2 linked regions of the Styela clava genome follow. The protein of the gene in region 1 purifies or fractionates together with the protein of each later gene. This does not show direct contact. Links are inferred from orthologs where the notes say so. Each region holds a gene or a part of one and is shown on either strand. Other genes may lie near its edges. The genes, in order: cleavage and polyadenylation specificity factor subunit 1-like and uncharacterized protein LOC120328595.

The links.
Region 2: the proteins of cleavage and polyadenylation specificity factor subunit 1-like (region 1) and uncharacterized protein LOC120328595 fractionate together in Homo sapiens (co-fractionation; 8 studies listed by BioGRID and IntAct, with this or other methods). This does not show direct contact. The link is inferred for Styela clava from reciprocal best matches to the Homo sapiens genes CPSF1 and FIP1L1.

The regions. Positions count from the first base shown.
Region 1 is NC_135259.1:8,800,818-8,811,659, reverse strand, and holds the start of cleavage and polyadenylation specificity factor subunit 1-like, read left to right. Parts: upstream 1-5,802; 5' UTR 5,803-5,987; coding exon 5,988-6,131; intron 6,132-6,425; coding exon 6,426-6,447; intron 6,448-7,091; coding exon 7,092-7,222; intron 7,223-7,465; coding exon 7,466-7,546; intron 7,547-7,857; coding exon 7,858-8,018; intron 8,019-8,457; coding exon 8,458-8,604; intron 8,605-8,974; coding exon 8,975-9,114; intron 9,115-9,432; coding exon 9,433-9,543; intron 9,544-9,764; coding exon 9,765-9,858; intron 9,859-9,929; coding exon 9,930-10,017; intron 10,018-10,283; coding exon 10,284-10,391; intron 10,392-10,464; coding exon 10,465-10,525; intron 10,526-10,842. Other genes in the region: uncharacterized protein LOC120337467, read right to left, coding at 68-147, 335-449. UniProt on the Homo sapiens protein: Component of the cleavage and polyadenylation specificity factor (CPSF) complex that plays a key role in pre-mRNA 3'-end formation, recognizing the AAUAAA signal sequence and interacting with poly(A) polymerase and other factors to bring about cleavage and poly(A) addition.
Region 2 is NC_135256.1:13,261,952-13,272,732, forward strand, and holds uncharacterized protein LOC120328595, read left to right. Parts: upstream 1-6,528; 5' UTR 6,529-6,656; coding exon 6,657-8,288; 3' UTR 8,289-8,536; downstream 8,537-10,781. Other genes in the region: asparagine synthetase domain-containing protein 1-like, read left to right, coding at 2,232-3,938; cytochrome b-c1 complex subunit 8-like, read left to right, coding at 4,450-4,722; JNK1/MAPK8-associated membrane protein-like, read left to right, coding at 4,988-5,896.

The sequences.
Region 1 (10,842 bases):
AGTGGGTAAATCAATGACATGGGAAATTCTGAAATTACACAAAGGTACAATGCAGACAACATCTTACCACTTTAGCAGCTCTTTCCTGAGATTCACATTTTCTGCAAAACCAAGGCCCTGATGGTACCTTGACAATGCCATAGCAAGCTGAAACAAAATATCAAAATTTATTACTGTATAATCAAAGCAGATTTCTATTATACACACCCATATGGACATTTATCGACTCCCAATTTATTCTAGACATTCCCAGCAGTACATAAGTTGCCAGCATACAACATGAAATTTAATTATTTTTATATCAAAAATCGAATAAATTATCAAATGCATTTACCTTGATGAACCGCCACATTGCATGATTGTCCATCACAGTAAACTAGTGGATTTTCAGCCCAACCTCTTTCATCCAAACACACACAACAACCCCCTAGCATTGGTTTTTCCGCCATTCAAATTTGATTAATTACAATGCCCTTATTGCAATTTTAATGAACTAAATACAGAAATACAAAATGATGAAATGGGGTTTGTTAAAACCTATGAAGAAGCCACCTATTTCAACATCTCCAATATGACTTTTATGCTATCACCACTACCTGACTACAGAACCTATGAGTACAGAGTGGTCTCCATTTCAAACACCAGTCAGCCTGTAGGTAAGTTTATTAATTATTATTACTTTTTTTAATACTGAAATAAATTATCTCATTACAAAATTACAGACTGAGGTAGTTTAGGACTTAATTGAATGAACATGCAGACATGTACAACTTCTTCTGTTCTTTGGCAAAACCTTCTAACTTAAATTCGGTTTGCTATAAACCTTACTAAGGCTTTGTTTGCTCTTCTGAATCTATAATCCAGTAATCAGTTTTTATCAACTCATTTATCAGTTTATCGTCTGCCATGCTGATGGAGTCAAAATAAATTTATACCAGTACCGGTATACATTTAGGCAACTAGGAATTTAGCATTTGTAGAAGATAGTATAAGACAGCGATTCCCATCCAGGGGTCCTTTCTGAAAGAAGGCCACAATGGGGTTCCTTTAATTACCGGAACGGACCCTAAATTACCGGAACGGGGTGGAAAACATACATAAACCTACCGGAACGGACCCTTAGATGTCTTGCAAATGTCATTTCATATACTTCCATGCAATTTTTATATTAAATCGGCAAACTTGGGGGGGTACAGTGGTAAATTTAATTTTCTTTAATTACCGGAACGGACCCTAATTTGCCGGAACTGAGTGGAAAACCAACATAAACCTACCGGAACGGACCTTTAGATGTCTTGCAAATGTCATTCCATATACTTCCTTGCAATTTTTATAATAAATCGGCAAACTTGGGGGGGACAGTGGTAAAATTAATTTTCTTTAATTACCGGAACGGACCCTAATTTGCCGGAACGGAGTGGAAAACCTACATAAACCTACCAGAACGGACTTATAAATATCTTGCGAAGGACATTTTATGTCCCTCCAAGCGATTTCCCAAATAAAATGGGAAAATTGAGGGGGATAGAATAATAGAAAATAACAATTTCATTTTACGCCACCTAGCGGATGTAAATTGAGCAATGAATTCCTGAATCATCTCTTATCAATATGAATTGATGATAAAAATTGATAATCAAAACCTTCTTACATGTTATTAGTCTTTAATTTTCCTTGTAGATAAGATAACGTAGTCATAGATTCAGATTGAAACAAATAAAAATTGTTTCCACAAACATTCTTGTGTAGGTATTGTAACTATGTAGCACAATATGAATATCCACCTAAATCTGTCATTATTAGAGATGATGTTGTTATTTAAGTTCGTGTCACCCGTAAGACTGCTGTTCCGGCACTGTAATCTACCTTGATAGATTGCATATTGCTTCGTGTCCATATATTTGAGCATCGTCCTCTTGTTTACCTACATACATACAAATCTGATCATCTAAAATGACTCCTTCAAAATTTACTAATATGCTATTGACTTAGCTGCAGATTGTTAATTTCCCCACTAGGTCTCGAAATTTATACGCAAAATATAAAACGTGCTTTCTTATAATTTTTCACCAACTTAAACGTAGGAACTCATGCTCAAATTCGTTCTGCCAGTGGAGGTTTTTGCCACAATCGTCCGAAAATTCGCTTCGGTATCCATTCCTACGATTCTCTGCATTTTTGGTGTTTGTGATGAGAAAATATACATTTTCTTTGCTACCAGTTGGAATTTCAGGTAACACCGTGCCTGGTTCACAACGGCCAAAAATTTGAATAATATGTTCCAAGCTTAGGAATTTTCCGTTTGGCAGAGGAACGCCTCGATTATTGGATACTCTGCATGTATCGGATATAGAATGAGGCATGTCAGGAGTTACAACACCTACAGTTGCAGAGTCATTTGCTGCATCAACATGTTCATCTTTGCTGATCGACTCGTCTGATATTAATTTGTCATCATTACAAAATGTTTCCGAGTCCGATAGTATACTAGGGGAATCCGGAATTAAAATCGTATCGTATTTTTGAAGTGGTACTTCGAGGAGAGGTACAAAATGATTTGTTCTAAAATCTTTGGCTGTTGGAGGAATCGTCATTTGGGTCCACAGTATTGTCGTTTTCGATTGTTGCGTGGCTCTGACGTCACGGCCACAAATTTTCCTTGTGAAAGGCTGGCTTAGGAAAACGTTGGCGCTGGTTTGAGGGTAATAAGATTGAATCGAAGCTTTGATAACTGAACTCAAGCCATACATGTGCATCATTTCTGAAAAACATCCATCCGTTCGAGCTGAATGTATCAAATCCGAGTATTTTGATGTCACAACCCGATCATCATCAATCGGGTTTTTGAAAGCAGGAAATTCTATGTCGTAAAATTCTTGATGTTCCATAATTTCAATTGCTGTCAAGAGGCGTAAATGTTTGTGATAGTCTTGTGTTCCATATAACGAGACGGATACTGCCCTGTACAAGCAGTTTCCATCGCCTTCTACGTACATTGAGTAAAACAGTCCAGCATGATTGAATGAAACTTTTGCAAAATATTCTTAGACACTGAACATTCTCTTATATGATTCTCAGATTGTGGTGCTTCTAAGGGTATAACTTGATGATTGTCTAACAAACATTGCAACGATTTGGTCAAGTAAGGGCGACCTGCTAACATCCGTAACGCCATGTCGTAATCGAACTTTTGATTCGGGCACAAGCACCTTGCACATAAAAAGTGCATGTCTTTCTTGCTCCATACTTCCATGACTTTTGGTTGTTCTCCAAGACAGGAAGCATGTGTCCAGGTCTCACACATTTCACATTCAATGCACTCGTCAATACATTCAATGGAACAGGTGGCACATGGGTATCTTATTGCACTAGACATAGCGTAGTAGGCTGTCTTTTGACGTTTGCGTTGAATATCTGAACCAGAAAATGGAACTCTTAGTTAAAAGTAATAAAGGTATTTTTGATATCGACTAGTACAATTAAAAATTATCATTCTGACTCATTCATATATTATATACATTCAAGATCTTAGCGTTTTGCAACAAAGACACTTTTAAAATATGGACACCATTTCCTCATTCGAAGTAAACTTCAATAAATATATTAATCCTTATATAAAATACAAGTTGTACATACCGATAAAATCGTCGAACTGGCTTGGTATTCTATCCTTGGCAGGTTGATGGAGAAGATATAAAAACTAGGAGTACAATTACAAGAATCGTAAATAATCTGCTTTAAATTCGTGATTCGAAATGGCACATAGGTCGCTTTTCTGTCGCAAAGAAATCTCCGGCCATGACGAACAGCCCAGCGCCAGTCCTGCTGCATTTCAACTTTGGAGGCTCGAAGCTGTGTTATCAGTAGACAAATCAGTAGGAGCACTTTGAACCGTCCTCGCTATAAAGGCTATAGCGACAATCGTTTTCAACTCGTGGTCAACTCTCGCATTTTCCTATGCTGAAATTTTAAATTCAAGTATTTTGAGAAGTCATTTTAGAGGATCAGATTTGTATGTATGTAGGTAAACAAGAGGACGATGCTCAAATATATGGACACGAAGCAATATGCAATCTATCAAGGTAGATTACAGTGCCCGAACAGCAGTCTTACGGGTGACACGAACTTAAATAACAACATCATCTCTATGAATGACAGATTTAGGTGGATATTCATATTGTGCTACATAGTTACAATACCTGCACAAGAATGTTTGTGGAAACAATTTTTATTTGTTTCAATCTGAATCTATGACTACGTTATCTTATCTACAAGGAAAATTAAAGACTAATAACATGTAAGAAGGTTTTGATTATCAATTTTTATCATCAATTCATATTGATAAGAGATGATTCAGGAATTCATTGCTCAATTTACATCCGCTAGGTGGCGTAAAATGAAATTGTTATTTTCTATCATTCTATCCTCCTCAATTTTCCCATTTTACTTGGGAAATCGCTTGGAGGGACATAAAATGTCCTTCGCAAGATATTTACAAGTCCGTTCTGGTAGGTTTATGTAGGTTTTCCACTCCGTTCCGGCAAATTAGGGTCCGTTCCGGTAATTAAAGAAAATTAATTTTACCACTGTCCCCCCCAAGTTTGCCGATTTATTATAAAAATTGCAAGGAAGTATATGGAATGACATTTGCAAGACATCTAAAGGGCCGTTCCGGTAGGTTTATGTTGGTTTTCCACTCCGTTCCGGCAAATTAGGGTCCGTTCCGGTAATTAAGAAAAATCAAATTTACCACTGTACCCCCCCAAGTTTGCCGATTTAATATAAAAATTGCATGGAAGTATATGAAATGACATTTGCAAGACATCTAAAGGTCCGTTCCGGTAGGTTTATGTATGTTTTCCACCCCGTTCCGGTCCGTTCCGGTAATTTAGGGTCCGTTCCGGTAATTAAAGGAACCGGCCACAATGCTGTGTGCAAAACTGATCTTACTTGACAAGAACCCCTAAATGCTCGTTCTTCCTAGTTTCATTGCTTGATAAGGTTATTTTATTTAACAGGGTTTTTCACTTTGTTGAGCATGATTAACATTCATGAACGCATTTAGCCTAATTTTGAACATTTTTGCAATAGTTAAAAAATATGTAAAAGGTATATACTAGGTGACATAAATATTAACCCATGCCACAATTCCACTGATAACACACACAATGAGAATAATTAGTTCCATTTTTTTTACTTTATAAGTATAAGTTTATTTCGACTTCATACTGCCATAAACGATAGACGATAGCAATAGACGAAAAAATAATTGATAAAAACAAAATACGTTACCGGTATCCCATAATCGATTCATACCAAAACGTGATATGAGGAACTTCAGAACTTCGATGCCACTAACTTTGCTCAACTGTTCCACCAACCTAATGTTGATCAAAATTTAAATTTTCACTTCAAATAATTTGTCTGTTAAAGTCCCAAATCTACAGATCTATGTAGACTAATAGCCTAAACATCTGAACATGCACCACTATACGGCGTAAACCAGTAACCACAACGCAACTACAGAACTAGAAAGGAAACCCTGGGTCACACTGGCATTTTGCAATCAACCAAAGTAAGAGACAGATTGGACAAAACTCAGTTTATTAATGATCCCAAAGAACAAAAACTTTAGTCTACTACAAGCTGACAAAAATCAGAAAGGTACCCTACCACAAATTGCAATTATTACGTCATTGTTAACTTAGTGCTGATTGGTCATTGTTAGGGCAATAAACAATGGAAATCAATGTCCGGGGAACATCCATATAGATGAAATTCCGGGGTCGGAGGTCGGAAAAACAATCCAGACCGACTTCTCTCATATTTTCTGAATTTTCGCGGTTCGCTAGCAAACTTTGAATTTCTGAAATTGTTTGTCCTTTCATCTAATTGTTCATAGATTTTTTCTTCAGCTGCAAATCCTGAAATCGACGTTTCTGATAGCATAGTAGGGTTTTGGTGTACTGCTAGTAGACTACAGCGTGATGTATGCGTGGTACAGACAACTCCATCCTCCAACAGGGATAGAAAACTGCTTGCATTGTAATTTCACTTCAGAGAAATACGAGGACTTAGTTGTTTCTGCTGCTTCACAATTAACTATTTACAGATTGAGGAAAAAGTTAGAAGTAAGTATATATTGCAGTTAGATCCTCTATTTTAGGCATCTTCATCCTATTTCTCTAGGCTACTTGACGAAATACAGAAATACTGCAAAAATGAACATTTGATATTTACATCACTGTATTTGACAAAATGCAGAAATGTTATCATATTTTCATTATCCTTTACGAAGTTTACCTTGTATCACCATAATTTGAGTCAGAATATTTGGCTTATTTCTGAATTTGCTGATTTGGTAGTGAACCAGCAGTAAAATTAAATTTAATTAATTTGACTAAATTCACATTTTATTTTTCCAGATCGTCACCAAAGATGAGAAAGGTATATTCATACAAGTTGGGATTGTTTTGTAATTATTTCCACTGCCTTTACCTGAGTAATAATATTAGAATATCTAATGTTACAATTACAATGCTGCAATGCCTGTACCTTTTAATTTTCTGCCTCTTTATTGTAAACCTTTTGCTTTTTAATGAATCTTAAAAAATTTCATCCTAGTCCATCCAATAATTTCTAAAAACATTTTAACAAATCGATGTCATAGCTGTCAATAAAATTATCAGAAAACAAACAATATCTGAATATTTTTTTTTTCCTCCCTTTTTCGGGAAGGCAGGAAGGGGGGGATATATTGGCTCAACAGAAAATCTATTTAACAGAATTTGCATTAGGTGGGCAATAATATAAAGAAGTGATTATGTCTGTATGTGATTGCTTGAATTTGTAACTTCATAAGTGACTTAATAAATTTTAGTTTTCCATTGCTTGACTGGACCAATATTAAAATGTCCATTTTCTTGTCGAAATCAATACATTTTTAAATACTTTTACAAACGGGGTGTATAATATTCATTTGACTATTTATATCATCTATTATTACATCTTTGATCTTGATTCCTCCAGTTGTCCATTTCGAAAAATGTCGTTACTAACTTTCACATCATATGTCGTTAATATCTATACAGAAAAAGTACGTAAAGATAAATTGGAGCAAATTGGAACATGGCAGCTACATGGAAATATTCAGTCAATGAAAAAAGTCCGATTTGCAGGATGTGCGAAAGATTCAATTCTGCTCAGCTTCAAGTATGCTAAGGTGTGTTGAACTCATTCATTTTTTCATTTTGTATTTGAATTATATAAAATATACAGGCTGTGTCAAAGTTTTAAAACTATCTTGAGCCTGTACAAGAACATGCCAAAAACTATTAAATTGTTATAATTTTCATAAGTCATGGTAAATACAAGTCGAACTTATATTTTTTGTTTATTTTTAAACTGGCGTACTGTTTTTTTTTTAAATATTTGCTATTGTGAAGTGTGAAAATTTCTTATTCAGCTTTCTGTTATTGAATTTGATGAATCAACATTTGAAATTAAAACTTCTTCACTTCATTATTTTGAAGAAGATTTGTCTGAGGTAAGTATGTATTTACAGATTTCCTAGAAAATTCTGTGTCTGTTTAACTTTTTATTTGATGTACCGTTTGATATTCGTATGTATAAGGATGCCATGCTCAATATCTTGATAATAATTTAACCATTTAATACAATAGGATTCTTCATACCATTTCTTATATTTTGAAGTTTCAAACATTGCAAATCTTCTTTCTTCATTTCATTGGTGCAATGGCCTGACTGTTTTGACATCACAGATTAAGGATTTAGGTTTGAAACCCCTGGCTCTGACATCATTTCGATTATTTAAAGTAATCCAACATATCATTTTAGAACGGTTCTGTGAGCAGAAACACCATCCCAAAAATTTGCACTGATCCAGAAAATCGTTGTGCTTGCATGCAACTGACAAGTACTAATATTGCAATACTTCCATTCCGAACCCGTGAAACTGCTGTTGTAACTGATGATTCTGTTGGACTGTCAAATGCAGGGTATGTTTTACTACATTTTTTAGCTAAGTAATCTTAGAATCAAGATGATGTTTTTATAAACAAATTACAAGTTATCAGGTTCTACACAAATCGCCACCATGAAAGTTTTCACTCAAATCAACAATTATTAACAATGGAGGTCGGAGTTGAAGTTTTCCGTATGCAATGTTCAATATAGAGCATTTTCCATAGCTGGAATTTTTTAGTTGAATTTTTTTTAACTCTCGTAAATCTGAAATATCATGGAATATAGAGATTTTTGGCTTGTTTTGGGTTCCTAACTGTCTATAGTTTATCTGCGTATTGCTTCGAATCAACTTCAGTAAATATACTTCATCCAAAGCTTGATTGTGCTCCTATTATATGCTTATAGATTTTTGGTAATACCTTATTTGGGGTTTTTGCATTTTCTATTGATAATATCTTTCAATTGCAACAGAACTCGGGGTCATGTTCTATCAAGTTATGAGATAAATTTGAAGGAAGTTGATCCTCAAGTTCAGATTGTGAAAGATATGAAATTTTTACATGGATATTATGAACCAACGTTGCTGATTTTGTTTGAATCTCTGAGGACATGGGCAGGGTGAGCAATGATATTTTTGGCCAAATTTTTTTATTTCTTTGCATGGATTAAGTTATTATATAGAAAGAGTAACTCCCAGATATTCTAGGTTTTTCCACAGGAGAATATATTTTTGTGCATACTTTTGAAGTGTACACTTCTATTATCATTCTTCCTAGTAGCTAAATCACTAATGAGATTAAAATTATTTTTGGAAATCTCATTATTCTATGTTAGTTTGTTTCATAATCTAATTACTATGAAATCAGGGTAATTTTTACTTACTATTTTCAATAAAGTTAAACACTCTCGAGTGCTCTCACATATCCAATCTTAAATTTTCAATTGTGATGCTTTATTTTTATTTGAGAAATTTTATATTTTGTTTCAGTCGAATCGCTGTTCGTCAAGATACCTGCAATATTATAGCAATATCACTCAATGTGAGTGAAAAATTACATCCAGTTATCTGGTCACTTGGCTCCCTACCATATGATTGTAAATATGTTTATGCAGTTCCAAAGCCTATAGGTAAGTCTTTTTCTAATGGAATTATCCTATCCTGTAGGAATTGGTGCACAATGTTTTAAATAGAAAATTACACTAATTTGGAAAGACTAATGTAGGTAAATTGAGTACAATGAAATTGGGGATAGCATGCATAATTTGACTTGACTTCTTTCACAAACAAGTTTTAATTAATTAATTAAGGTTTGCTATTCATGATATTTCAACCCCAGAAACATATTGAAAATGTGACTGCTGACTCTATTAGTAAATTGTACTTAATACTATATAGCAGTAATTCAATAAACTCTTTTTATATCAAATCATTCAATTGGATTTCAGGAGGAGTTTTAATTTTCGCTGTATCTTCAATGATATATTTAAATCAAAGTTGTCCTCCCCATGGTATGTCACTCAACTCACACACAAAGAACTCAACATCATTTCCATTGAGTGAGTAAATCACAATGAATATACTCTATTATGTAACTGTTTGTCATAGCCAATTTTAAACTGAAGCCGGCTAACTTTATGATTAAAAAACCCTCATTTTAATTAATATTAGCTCATTAGAATGGGCAGTAAAAGTCATCAAATCAATTACTGTAGGGCATGAAATTGGGAGTACACCATGATGAATGACCAATCTGATAAATTTTCATTTTAAATCTCAGAAATCCAAGATGGGCTCGCAATAACGCTTGATCTTAGCAAAGCTGTATTTTTGTCACCGGACAGACTTGTTGTAACTTTGAAAGGAGGAGAATTGTGAGTTGTAGTAATAATCAAATACTTAACCAAATTACATGGCTTGATACAAATGTGTCATCTTTTTTCAGATATGTGATATCCCTTGTAGTAGATAGCATGAGAAGTGTCCGAAGTTTCCATATAGAGAAAGCTGCTGCAAGTGTTTTAACTACTTGTGTAAGTTCATTTTCATCTTATCTTAGGAGTCTTAGTTTGTTTGATACATCTATATATTTGTTTGCCACTGCTCGATAACCCGCTGTAGTTTTCTGCATCTTCCCATTCACTGCAGAAGTGTATGTTTTTTATTCTTACAATGTGGACATGTGGTATGGGTCGTTTTTTACTGACTGGGGAAAATAATCTCCATCATGAGTAATGACTATTTTCATTTTGATTGAATAGTTCATTTATAACATATTTGTGTAAATACATCTATATAGATAACTCTACTTGAAGAAGGATATTTATTTCTTGGATCGAGACTTGGTAATTCTCTGTTACTTCGTTACACTGAAGCAGCAAGGATGGAAATAAGTAGAGAAGAGAAGGTAATTTGAACTATGTCATTATGAAACTTGTTATATTTCATGATTTTAATTGAAAAAATATTCTGTTCAAAAGGCTTTGACAAGTGAACCAGCCTCGAAGCGCAAACGATTGAATACAGCTGCAGATTGGGCTGGTAAGTTCTAATTGATGATTTCGTGGTATGTCAATGTGCTTCAATATTTAAATTTTTATGTCATTCCAGAATGAAACATTCTATAGTCCACCTCATACTTTTTACCAGCCATGACCCACACGATTTATATTTTTGTAAACAATCGAAATTGGTTATATTTGGTGTAGTGAATACTTTTTTTGCAAGAATTTTAAACTTTTGAATGTGATTATCATTCTTCATTCAACTCTATAAAATAGAAAACCAGTCGAAAATTTTTTTTTATTGAATCATTCTGTGTTACCAAATTTAATTTGTATTGGTTAACACTAATTTTT
Region 2 (10,781 bases), on another chromosome or scaffold:
TTATTTGGTATTAGACTATATCGCAACCAATGCGCAACCGATAATGCTGGTACAGTAGTTGGATAAGATAGTCGACATCACGGGGTGTCAGGCAAGGGTTGAAATACGACATACCACCTTGGCGTTTTATCTCCTGTAGGACATTCGTGCGAGAAAAGTCGCGTGAATATTATAAAAGCGTAATTAATTTTATGAAAACTTATAGTTTAAATATGAATGATATTAAAATGGGTGAACATAGAATTATATATGATAAAGTTTTAAAAAGTATTAATGGGGAAAGACTTGTAATTATCCGTAATTCAAATCTCAGTATAACTTGTAACAGTATTCATAATAAAATTTTGGCAAATTATATGAGGACCTTCAACTATAAGTTAATATGGGATATTCTACCCTTGAAAACAAAACCAGAGATCAAAAGAGTAGCAGGAAATGAATTATGTTTATTATGTAATATAGAACCTGAGTTTGTGTCACATATTTTTATGTTTTGTAAGTTTACTCAGAAAATTTATGATGAATTTGTTTCCTTAATTATATTAAAATTAATTAGAATAAATTTTGTTATAAATTATGATTCTTGTATATTATTGAATTTTAATGATCCTTTATTTAGTCATATAACAGCATTAGATTTGAATGCAATTATTCTTTTATTATCAATAGTGCGATATAAAATTTGGATAATGAGAAATTCTATAATATTTGAAAATAAAACACCTGACATTGCTCTCCTTAAAAAACAGATAAAAATGGCCCTAATGTATAGAAAAAATATAGAAAATTCCAGAGTAGACAAACCCTTTGAAAAAGAATTACAAAATTTATGTAAAGCATTAATTTAGATATTAAATCAGGTTTATAATAAGTTTTTTGTATTTACTAATTTTGTGTATTTCCTTTTATATTGTATTATATCATTGTAATTATTAAAAAAACATTATTATCGTTGGATACTTATTACTGATGAAACAAACTGGAAATACTGTGAAACTCAATTTAACAAATGGATCATGAATGGAATGTGGACTATAATTTATTTTATTTGTTTATTTATTTTTTACATATTTATTGAAATCACTCAATGAGTGAACCAATTAAAAAAAAAAAAAAAAAAAGAGAAAAGTCGCGTGTTTTCAATTTATTCTCGATTCTTTTTCTTTTTGGTAATATTCGTATTAAAAGAACATTATCTTAAATAATACCTAATATGGCGCCGTATTAAAACATTGTCAGACTAGTTAGAAGATAGTGATACTAGTTACTAGATTGAAAATCATTTTCTTTGTACCGTATCTGTTGTAGGTATATGGCCGTATGTTACGGTAATGTTGATAATACAGTGATATCGTATCACTCAAGTGTTTTGCTACCTAGCGTAGGATATTATCTTTGTGTCTTTTAAAAATGTTACTGTACGGTAACGTTTGAGAAATACAATGTCAACTGTTAATATTGTGATATAATATTTTGGTAAATAGGCTATGCTATATAATATAGGTAGTAATAGTATACTGTACCATATGGTAGGTACATAGTCTAATAGGCTACTATCCACAGGTCTGAATTGTTGGGAGGTTGATTTTAAAGGTGCAAAATATTTCATAGACAAATAGTGCAGTGTAATATATGTGGATTCCAAATACTGAAGTATAATCTCAATTAAGTAATATAACATTCTTACGTATGTAAATACATTTGTTCATACATTTAAAAATAGCGAAAGACTTCATTTTAACGTTTATTTTTGATGGGATTCAATGATATTTATGGAATAATTGATTTATGCCAATTTCTGAATTTGTTAATTCAAAAGTTCTCATCGAATTTGAATGGTTCTTTTTACTGTTTTTGGTGGACGGGCACGTACTTGTACGTTTTCAACTTTTTAATTAAGTTATGTTCGTTCCTCCAGGTCTTTTGCATTTTGTTTGTCCGTTTGTTGTTGTTTTAATTCTTCCAGAGTGACCAAATTAAAATTGATTGATACTATATAGTTGATTACTCTTACTATCATTTTATAAAACTATATCAATTCACTGTTACATGCTCTCAGTTTCCCTCTCACAAAAGCAGATAGTGCAAAGGCTACCAATTTGAATTGTGTCATTGAACATGTCGATTATTGAGTGCTTTCTTATGTCTCAGCTTCTGATCTGAATGAATTGGTATTTAATATTCTTACACAGACAGCTGGTAAAACTATGCATCTGTAGGCAATTATAATTATGTGCGGTATAATAGCAATAATAAGTAAGTCTGAAAATGTGCCACAACATATTCTAGATGATATTCTACCTCTCATTAAGCGTCGAGGTCCGGATGCTACTGGGACCAAATCAATAGTTATCGGCAATGGCTTTTATTTACACATGATTTCTACTGTTCTGCATTTACAAGGAAATGTTGCGACTCAACAGCCTTATGTTACTGCAAATGGAGACTTTTTGCAATGGAATGGTGACGTCTTTGGTGGATTAGAAGTAAAGGACGGTTTTTGTGACACAGTCATTCTTGCTAATCGCCTGAGTGAATGCGCAAATGATACTGAAATATGCAAAGTTTTTAGTTCATTGCACGGACCTTATGCCTTCGTATTTTTTCAAAATTCAACAAAAAGATTGTATTTTGGGAGAGATTATTTTGGTCGCCATAGTCTTTTATATCATGAAGGTGACGATGACTTTATATTAGCATCAGTTGCGAAACATTCAACAAACATCAATTCAAATGTGTCATGGAAAGAAATCCAGGCTGATGGAATCTATGTCATCGACACACAATTGCAAAAATGTAATAGGGAGATTAAATGTCATTTTTGGAAATCAATTACAAACTCACACTGCCTCAAAGTAGATGTTATGAAGCAATATGACACTGGTTACACAAATAAAATAATGGAATCAAATGGATCTGCAGAGAATGATCATATTGCAATAGACCTGAACATAGAAACATTCAATTCTTCTTTTGAGAAAGTTGTCAAAAGCCAAATAGTAGATAAAATGTCAGACTTAGATGCTTTGGTTGCTATCTGTGAATCCCAAAATATTTGGCCATTAGTGGATCTTTTTACAGATGTACTCAAAAAGTCGGTACAAAGACGTGTATCAAATCTGCCAAAATATTCAAACTCACATTCATCAATAAGTATTCTTTTTTCTGGTGGAATAGATTGTAGCATTCTAGCTTTGCTGGCTAATGAATATGTTCCCGTTTCGGAACCGATAAATTTACTTAATGTTGCTTTTGAAACACCAAAAAATAAAAATTTTGATGTCCCAGACAGGTGTACTGGTAGGATGTCCTATGAGGAATTATCAAAATTATGCCCAAATAGAGTTTGGAATTTTGTTGAAATAAATATAGGATTAGACGAATTAAGGGAAACTAGAATAAAAAGAATTGCTGATTTAACATATCCATTAACAACTGTTCTTGACGATAGTATTGGTTGTGCTTTATGGTTTGCAGCATATGGTGGGACAATACACCCTGAATGCAAAACAAAAGTAGTTCTATGTGGTATGGGAGCTGATGAACAGCTTGGAGGATATTCCCGTCATCGATCAGCATTCGAAAATCGTGGGTGGGAAGGACTTGGCAATGAAATTATGATGGAACTGGAAAGAATATCATCACGAAACCTTGGTCGTGATAACAGAATTATTGCAGATCATGGAACTGAAGCAAGGTTTCCATATTTAGATGAAAATGTTATATCATTTTTAAATAAAATCCCACTCTCTTCTAAAACCAATTTGATTTATAGAAGAGGGTTAGGAGAAAAACTTCTTCTCAGGGCTACGGCTTATAATCTTGGCCTAAGGAATGTTGCTGTTTTTCCAAAAAGGGCCATCCAGTTTGGATCTCGTATTGCCAAAGCAGAGTGCAATAAAGAAAAGGCTTCTGATATTTGTAGTAGATTATTGTGACAGAAATTGCATGCAATGGCTGCACGATAAGGCAATGTTTCATTTTGTAATATTCAAAGTTTCGCAAATGCTTTATCATTACTTTTTCAAGCAGATATTGGAGACTTGATTTCAGCAGATTATATTTAACTTGATTTTTTCTCAATTTGTTTTCTTAAAAAATAACTTAAACGTGTTTTTTCTGGTTCGACTTTTTACAAATTCATTTCAGTTTTTTGGTAATACAATTTTCATATTAATTTTTTTTGTGCACAGATTCATAGAAGTAATTTAGTAGAAATAACCATTCAAAACCTTGAAATTAACAATTTTATGCTTCAATTCAATGCTCTTGGGCTGTTGTATATTTAGTATCATGGCCATGGGCAACATCAGTGGAAGGCTGATTGAAATAGTGTTATGAAATAAATTGCATTTTGTCTAAGCTCTAATTTATATTATATGTTTTTATTCATGAATCTAGTTTGTTAATTAAATTTTCTAACAAAAAAACTCCCAAGAAAATTGCAACATGAAGCTTACTGATGGAAAAATGGGAAAAGGATTTGGCACTCTTGGAGTGAAGATGACATCACAAATCCAGTATCAGCTGTCACCTTTTGAGCAACCACCTTTGAAAGGTTACTTTCAGAATGGCCTAGTGAACGTTGCAAGGAGAACAAGAGAAAAATTTCTATACTTCACCATTCCGATGGTTATCGGATATATGGTGTATCAGTATGGAGAGACAACAAATGCGAATCTGAAAAGAAAGAATCTTAAAGACTATGAAAATGATGTTTAAACTTATAAAATCGTTCAATTATTCAATACTATGTGTTTGATTTAAAATAGGAAATATAATAAAATATTTTTCAGTTCATAATAACAAGATAAATTTCATTCAACTTCATTTTACAGTGAATTTGTCTGTTCAAAATATTCATGTTTTTGGATTGTCGTGCATTTTTGGTGGTTCAATAATAACTTATTATTATGATAATTGTTTCTTTAGATAATATAATATAGTAAAACATTCAAAATCTAATGAAAGCATCAGTTTGAGTACCATGGCTGAAGCTATGAATCCATTGTGCATTGGAAGATACTGTGGTTATCCACCTGATGATGAATTACCTGATACGTGGCAACTAGACAAGTGTGGTGCTTGTCCATGGGGATATAAAGCAAACGAAACAAAGTATTGTATTCAGTGTGACAAACCTCCTGATATCTATGACTGGCTTTATCTTGGATTTATGGCTGTATTACCTTGTATGCTTCATTGGATTTATATATTAAGAAACCAGAAATCTTTGAAACTAATGGTAGCACAGATACTTTTATCAATTTTCGAATGTGTTTGTGCTTGCTTATTATCACTTATTTCTAGTGAGCCGAAAGGTGATTTACAACTTGTATCTTGTGGTGTAAATCAGTTATCAGACTGGTATACAATGTTTTATAACCCACAGATTGAATATACTCAGACCATTCATTGCTCTCAAGAAGCAGTGTATCCATTAATGACAATAGTTTGTATCTATTATGCATATACACTCATATTGATGCTACTATTCCGACCTTTTATACTATCTTTTATAGCTGCTGCGAAGGAATGGAGTGGCCCCCTTTATGCAGCATTGTATTTTCATCCCATCTTAGTTGTAATTCATGCTTTTATTGGGGGGCTAATTTATTATTCATTTCCCTACATAACACTGCTTGTATCCCTGGTCGCTATAGCAACGTACTTTGTGTGGACCAATGTCACAACTCTTAGTTCATCATTACGACATAAAGTCAAAAATATGTTGATCATTTTATGGCATATGTCGCTTTTAACATTTGGTATTATTGCCATTTCTAATGAAAATTATTATTTTGTGGTACTGGCACCATTCCCACTTATATTTTATTTTTTGACATTACAGTTTACAGATCCCGAAAATATTGATAAAGAAAGGCATCATACATGAAGATCCATACCATTCTAACCTATGGGCCCTTTTTACTATTTGTCTAAAATACCTTATTGCTTCAATCTATTCATAGTTTGTTTCAGTTGGAGGCCATTCATTGGATTAATATTATGTATTCTAGAATTTTTTTTGATTTGTCATTTCCGCAATCCAGAGATATAGTTTTTACCTAAATTTGAATATTTCTCGCAAATAAGCTTACCTTACCTTAATTGCAATGTTCAGGAAATGTTTTCTATGTTTCATTGACACAAACTCTATAAGGAACAAATATTGTTTATTATGGAGCAAGTGACATAAATGTACCTATTGATACCAAGCAAATATATTAGTGTAGATCTACAAGACTAACATTATCTGGAGTCGAAAACATAATGTGACAACATACTGATGAGATTGAAAACAATGTCAGACTATTTGTGCAGTGAATCTCTTATCAGAATAGAATAATATGCCCTTAGTAATGTATTATACATAAGATATGAAACATAAAATATGTAAGAACTTGGATAAAATACTCTTTTCACATTTGCTTCAATTCCATGCTTGCAGGCTTTTATTAATTTTTGATTCAATATTGAAGTTGCGCATGATTCACAATTTTTCTGACAATATTGTATACCGGTATATATTATTTATTGCAACCTCCATTTGTTATGGTCAATTGTTTTCACCTGATGATATCATTTCTTGATTATTTGTTTTTTCTAGGAAACACCTCCATGATATAATAAACTAAATTGTCATCGCAACTAAGATGGCTGATGTAGAAGATGAAGATTCATGGTTGTACGGTGATTCTACTAAAGAAAAATCAGAACCACCTGATTCAGGAAATACAAATGTAAATGAAAAACCATTATCAAAAATTGAAAATGAAGTCCAAGAAAAAATGGATCATGAGCCGGCTCCTGCTTTAGAGGTACCTGTCATTGAAAATGGAAAGGCGCCGGTAATTAAGCTTGACAATCAAGCTCTACCTGCTAAAGAAATTGCCGCTAAAAATGAGGATGACGACGAAGATTCAGATGATGATGTACAAGTTACGATTGGAGAAATCACAACTGGTGGAACACCTGGGAATTTTCCAGCCCAAGGACTGAGTAGAACTTTCTATAGGAATCCAGTTCCTGTACCTACAAAACCTACAGTGACAAAAGGCTTGGATATGCAGGCTCCAGGTGATATCAACGGTACTCCAGTTATGGAGACAAATATAGACTTGCTTGATGACAAACCATGGCGCAAGCCAGGAGCTGACATTTCTGATTATTTCAATTACGGGTTTAATGAAGATACCTGGAAGCAATACTGCGATAAACAAAAGAAATTTCGAGGACAATTAGATAACATGCCTGTTATATCACTGCCTTTACCAAAACCTATCCAGAATGGTACCACAAGTTTGTTTAGCACCCCACCATATGTTCCTTTGGCCAAATTTGAAAATACTGTCAGAAACATATCAACTTTGCAATTTAGTAGAAGGAAAGAAGATGAGCTGTTAGCGGCCTCTGCGGCAGCCGCAGCTGCCACAGCTGTACAAAATCAGTCACAAAATGCCACACCTGTCCCATCGTCAATTCCTCCAAGTTCTGCAACTCAAGTATTTTTGTCTCAGATGAGGCAGCCAATCGCCGGGACTTTGCCCAATGCCCCTTTGCCATTCCCACCCATAAATCCCAATCAACCACCACCAGGTATGCCTATTGGTGTCCCTCCACCGTTTATGATGTCTAATGTTCCTCCGCCTGGAATCCCTCCACCAGGCGTTGGTCCACCGCCAGATTATTTACAATCAGCACCTCCTGGATATCCGCCAGGGTTTCAACCCCCAGTCACACACACTGTGCCCCCTCCTTTATTTGGTCAACAAGATGGTGGCGATCCTTACAATCAATACTCAGAAGATCGGCATAGGAGACCCTCGGATAGTGAAACAGATCGACATAGTGAAGATGATGGCCGATACAGGAGAGAGCGGGGAAGTAGTTCCAGAAGAGATTACGACCGTGATAGATATAGAGATAGAAGGGATTACAGAGATAGCAGACCTCGGGATAGAGATCGTGATCGAGACAGAGATCGTGACCGCGATAGGGAAAGAGATCGTGATCGTGACCGAGAAAAGGATAGAGATCGTGATAAAGACAGAGACCGAGATAAAGATCGTGACCGCGATAGGGGGCATGAAAGAGAGAGCAGCAGTTCAAGAAGATATCGAGACGACAGCCCATCCCGACATAAATCATCGCGCAGAAAGCATGAAGATGATGACAGGCATTCAAGCAAACATAAAAAGGCAAAAAAGCATAAGCACAAAGATAAAGACTCTGATGCTCCTCCTGGAACTGATGAAGTTAATGGCAATGAGGAGGTCGAAAAGTGAACTACTCTGTGAATATTATTGAAAGACCTTATAATTCCGATTGCGGTTATTATGCCAACACTCCGGTTTTACTGAGATAACAACTGATGCATATATTTGAACATGCAGATCAAATATGATGAACATACGGAGACGGTCTCTTTAGAAATTCAATACTTCAGCAACCATATTTTCTGATAATGTTGTTTAATAATCATTTATTGAAAAAATGTCATTGAAACAAAAAAATTTAAATAGGTTTTAATTCATATTTTGTGAATAGTTAGTTATTCATGTGAATGGCTCGAGGATTTTGAGGACTGTTTTTGAAGATTTTGTTCTGGAGTACATTTGAAATTGATCACCCCTCTTAACCTGAGGTAGAGTGGAGATGAGTAGAAATCGCAATTACCATAACGTTATGTGTGTGTGTAATAAATACCATTGTAAAGGGATGAAATAAGACTGGGAGCTCATGAGTACATATGCTGCCACTTACCCAGCTTCCTAACTAGTTACTTTGGTGTACTACACATTGCTACTGTCGAAGGTCCCTACTAATTTTAAATCTCTCCATGCATGCAATATGTAAATTATGGTGCGAAGACATTAATTCATTTATACTTAGTAAGTGGAGTCCAATTTGTGTAATTGCTGAAAAATATGGCATTCGAAAAGGTTTTGAATTGAATTTGAAAACGTTTCAAAATATTAGTGAAAACTATGGACAGAAATGCAATGCCTTTGCCACATTTGTCATTAAATTCCCTATGTTTAATGTATCGCTTGGGTTACCTATTTGCACATTCTCTTGTGAAGAATATTGTACCTGAATAGGTTTAATCAGCTGTAGAAATTCTCTCACGACTGTTTGGTCTTCTCAAGTTCGAAAGCGACAATTTTAAATAATTCTTTCAGGATTCAATCAATTTTGAAAAATACAATATTAAAATATATACTTTAGGATGTCTGTAGAAATGGTCGTTTTGGGAGGTGGTGTGGGTTATATTATGGAGTGGAATTGCTCTCCTGAAAACTTGTCAAGTAAAGTTTATATCTTTTAACCGGTGCCAAAGTTACCGAAGTAAGGTACGCAAGCTGATCATCAAGAAAGCAGCGACGCCCACGGCTGGGATTTCCAAATGAAAGGTAAATGGATCGTGCTCCCTTTATGTACAATTTTCTAATAATATTGGCATACTTGTATAAATCTCATTCAAGAGTTTTGAAGGTGGGGGACACGTGTTAGTCACTCTACCAAATTACCTTAGGCAAGTTATGGCTCCTGCCACGGAAACGCCGCCAAACTATTATCGCTATTTTGAATTAACGGTGCTTGAAATTCAATAGTTATTATACCTCTCCACCAGAACGTAGTTTTATTGGGAGCGGTGCCTTATTATATTTAGTATTGTGTCTCCAAAAAGTTTGGTGATTTTCAACGTGCTACATTGAACATTATCACCACGCGAACGCGGCCCCCTCGCCTAGTGTGAAAACTACATGTAAATTACAAATTAGCTTTTTCGGGACGTGGAGAGAGACAGTTCCAGAAAGGCACGGCGAAACGGCCGTGTGTTCAAAAAGAGATTATCCGACCTTCAAATCGGGGAACAATACAAACATATACATATAAAATGTACAAGTTTCCACATGAAAATATCACAAAGTAATCCGCTACTTAAAAAAAAAGCATTCAGACCGTGGTAATCGTTAGCGTCATGAATAAAAGGTCCAAACGAAATTATCTGGCTGTAGTTCCAAATCTTGCGCAATTCGGCTTTTACAATCCAGCGGCACTATTCTGGAGATTCTTTTCCTTCCCAGTTGTTGAAATTGAAAATAACTGGCTCGGCGGTGTGGCGCATCGTGCTAAGCTTGAGGATTGCGATCGCCAACGCACCTCTGATTATTCCGCATGGGTTTGCAGGTTCGAATCCCACGCGGGGATAGGTATGTGCGAGAAAATTGCTGGACTCCTCGTCGCTGTAAGGTGGTTCACGTAACCTAGTGGTTCTTAACCTTTCCGAGAACCCATGCACTATTCGGCATGCTCCCGCCGAACCCCATCGTACTGAACGGTTCAAATTAGGAGCCCAATCCTAACTTAATAACGGGGAAACTATGTTCGTGCTAGCTAAAAGGAAATGAACATTATGGTTTAACCCTAGATACCAATCAGACATGTGGAAATAGCAATCGTTTTGTCACAATAGTGCCGCGACAGGAAGAGCAGATTTTTTTCTTTTATTAGTTGTGCGAATGAAAAAGCGGAAAACGGATAAAAAAAAATAGCAACTTTGAAAATCCAAAAGATGATAATATGCCTCAAAAACGTTTGTAGTTCAAGTCATTCGGTTCTCAAACTCCAAACTGCATTGAAATGTGGATAAAAGCTTTTGCCAATTATTTTATGATGATAACTTCCAGAAAAGCTCTGCAATTAAGTATTACTTGTCACAAATTGATCACCTAGTAATATTCAAACTCGTTCTGATTTTGCATTCATTTATG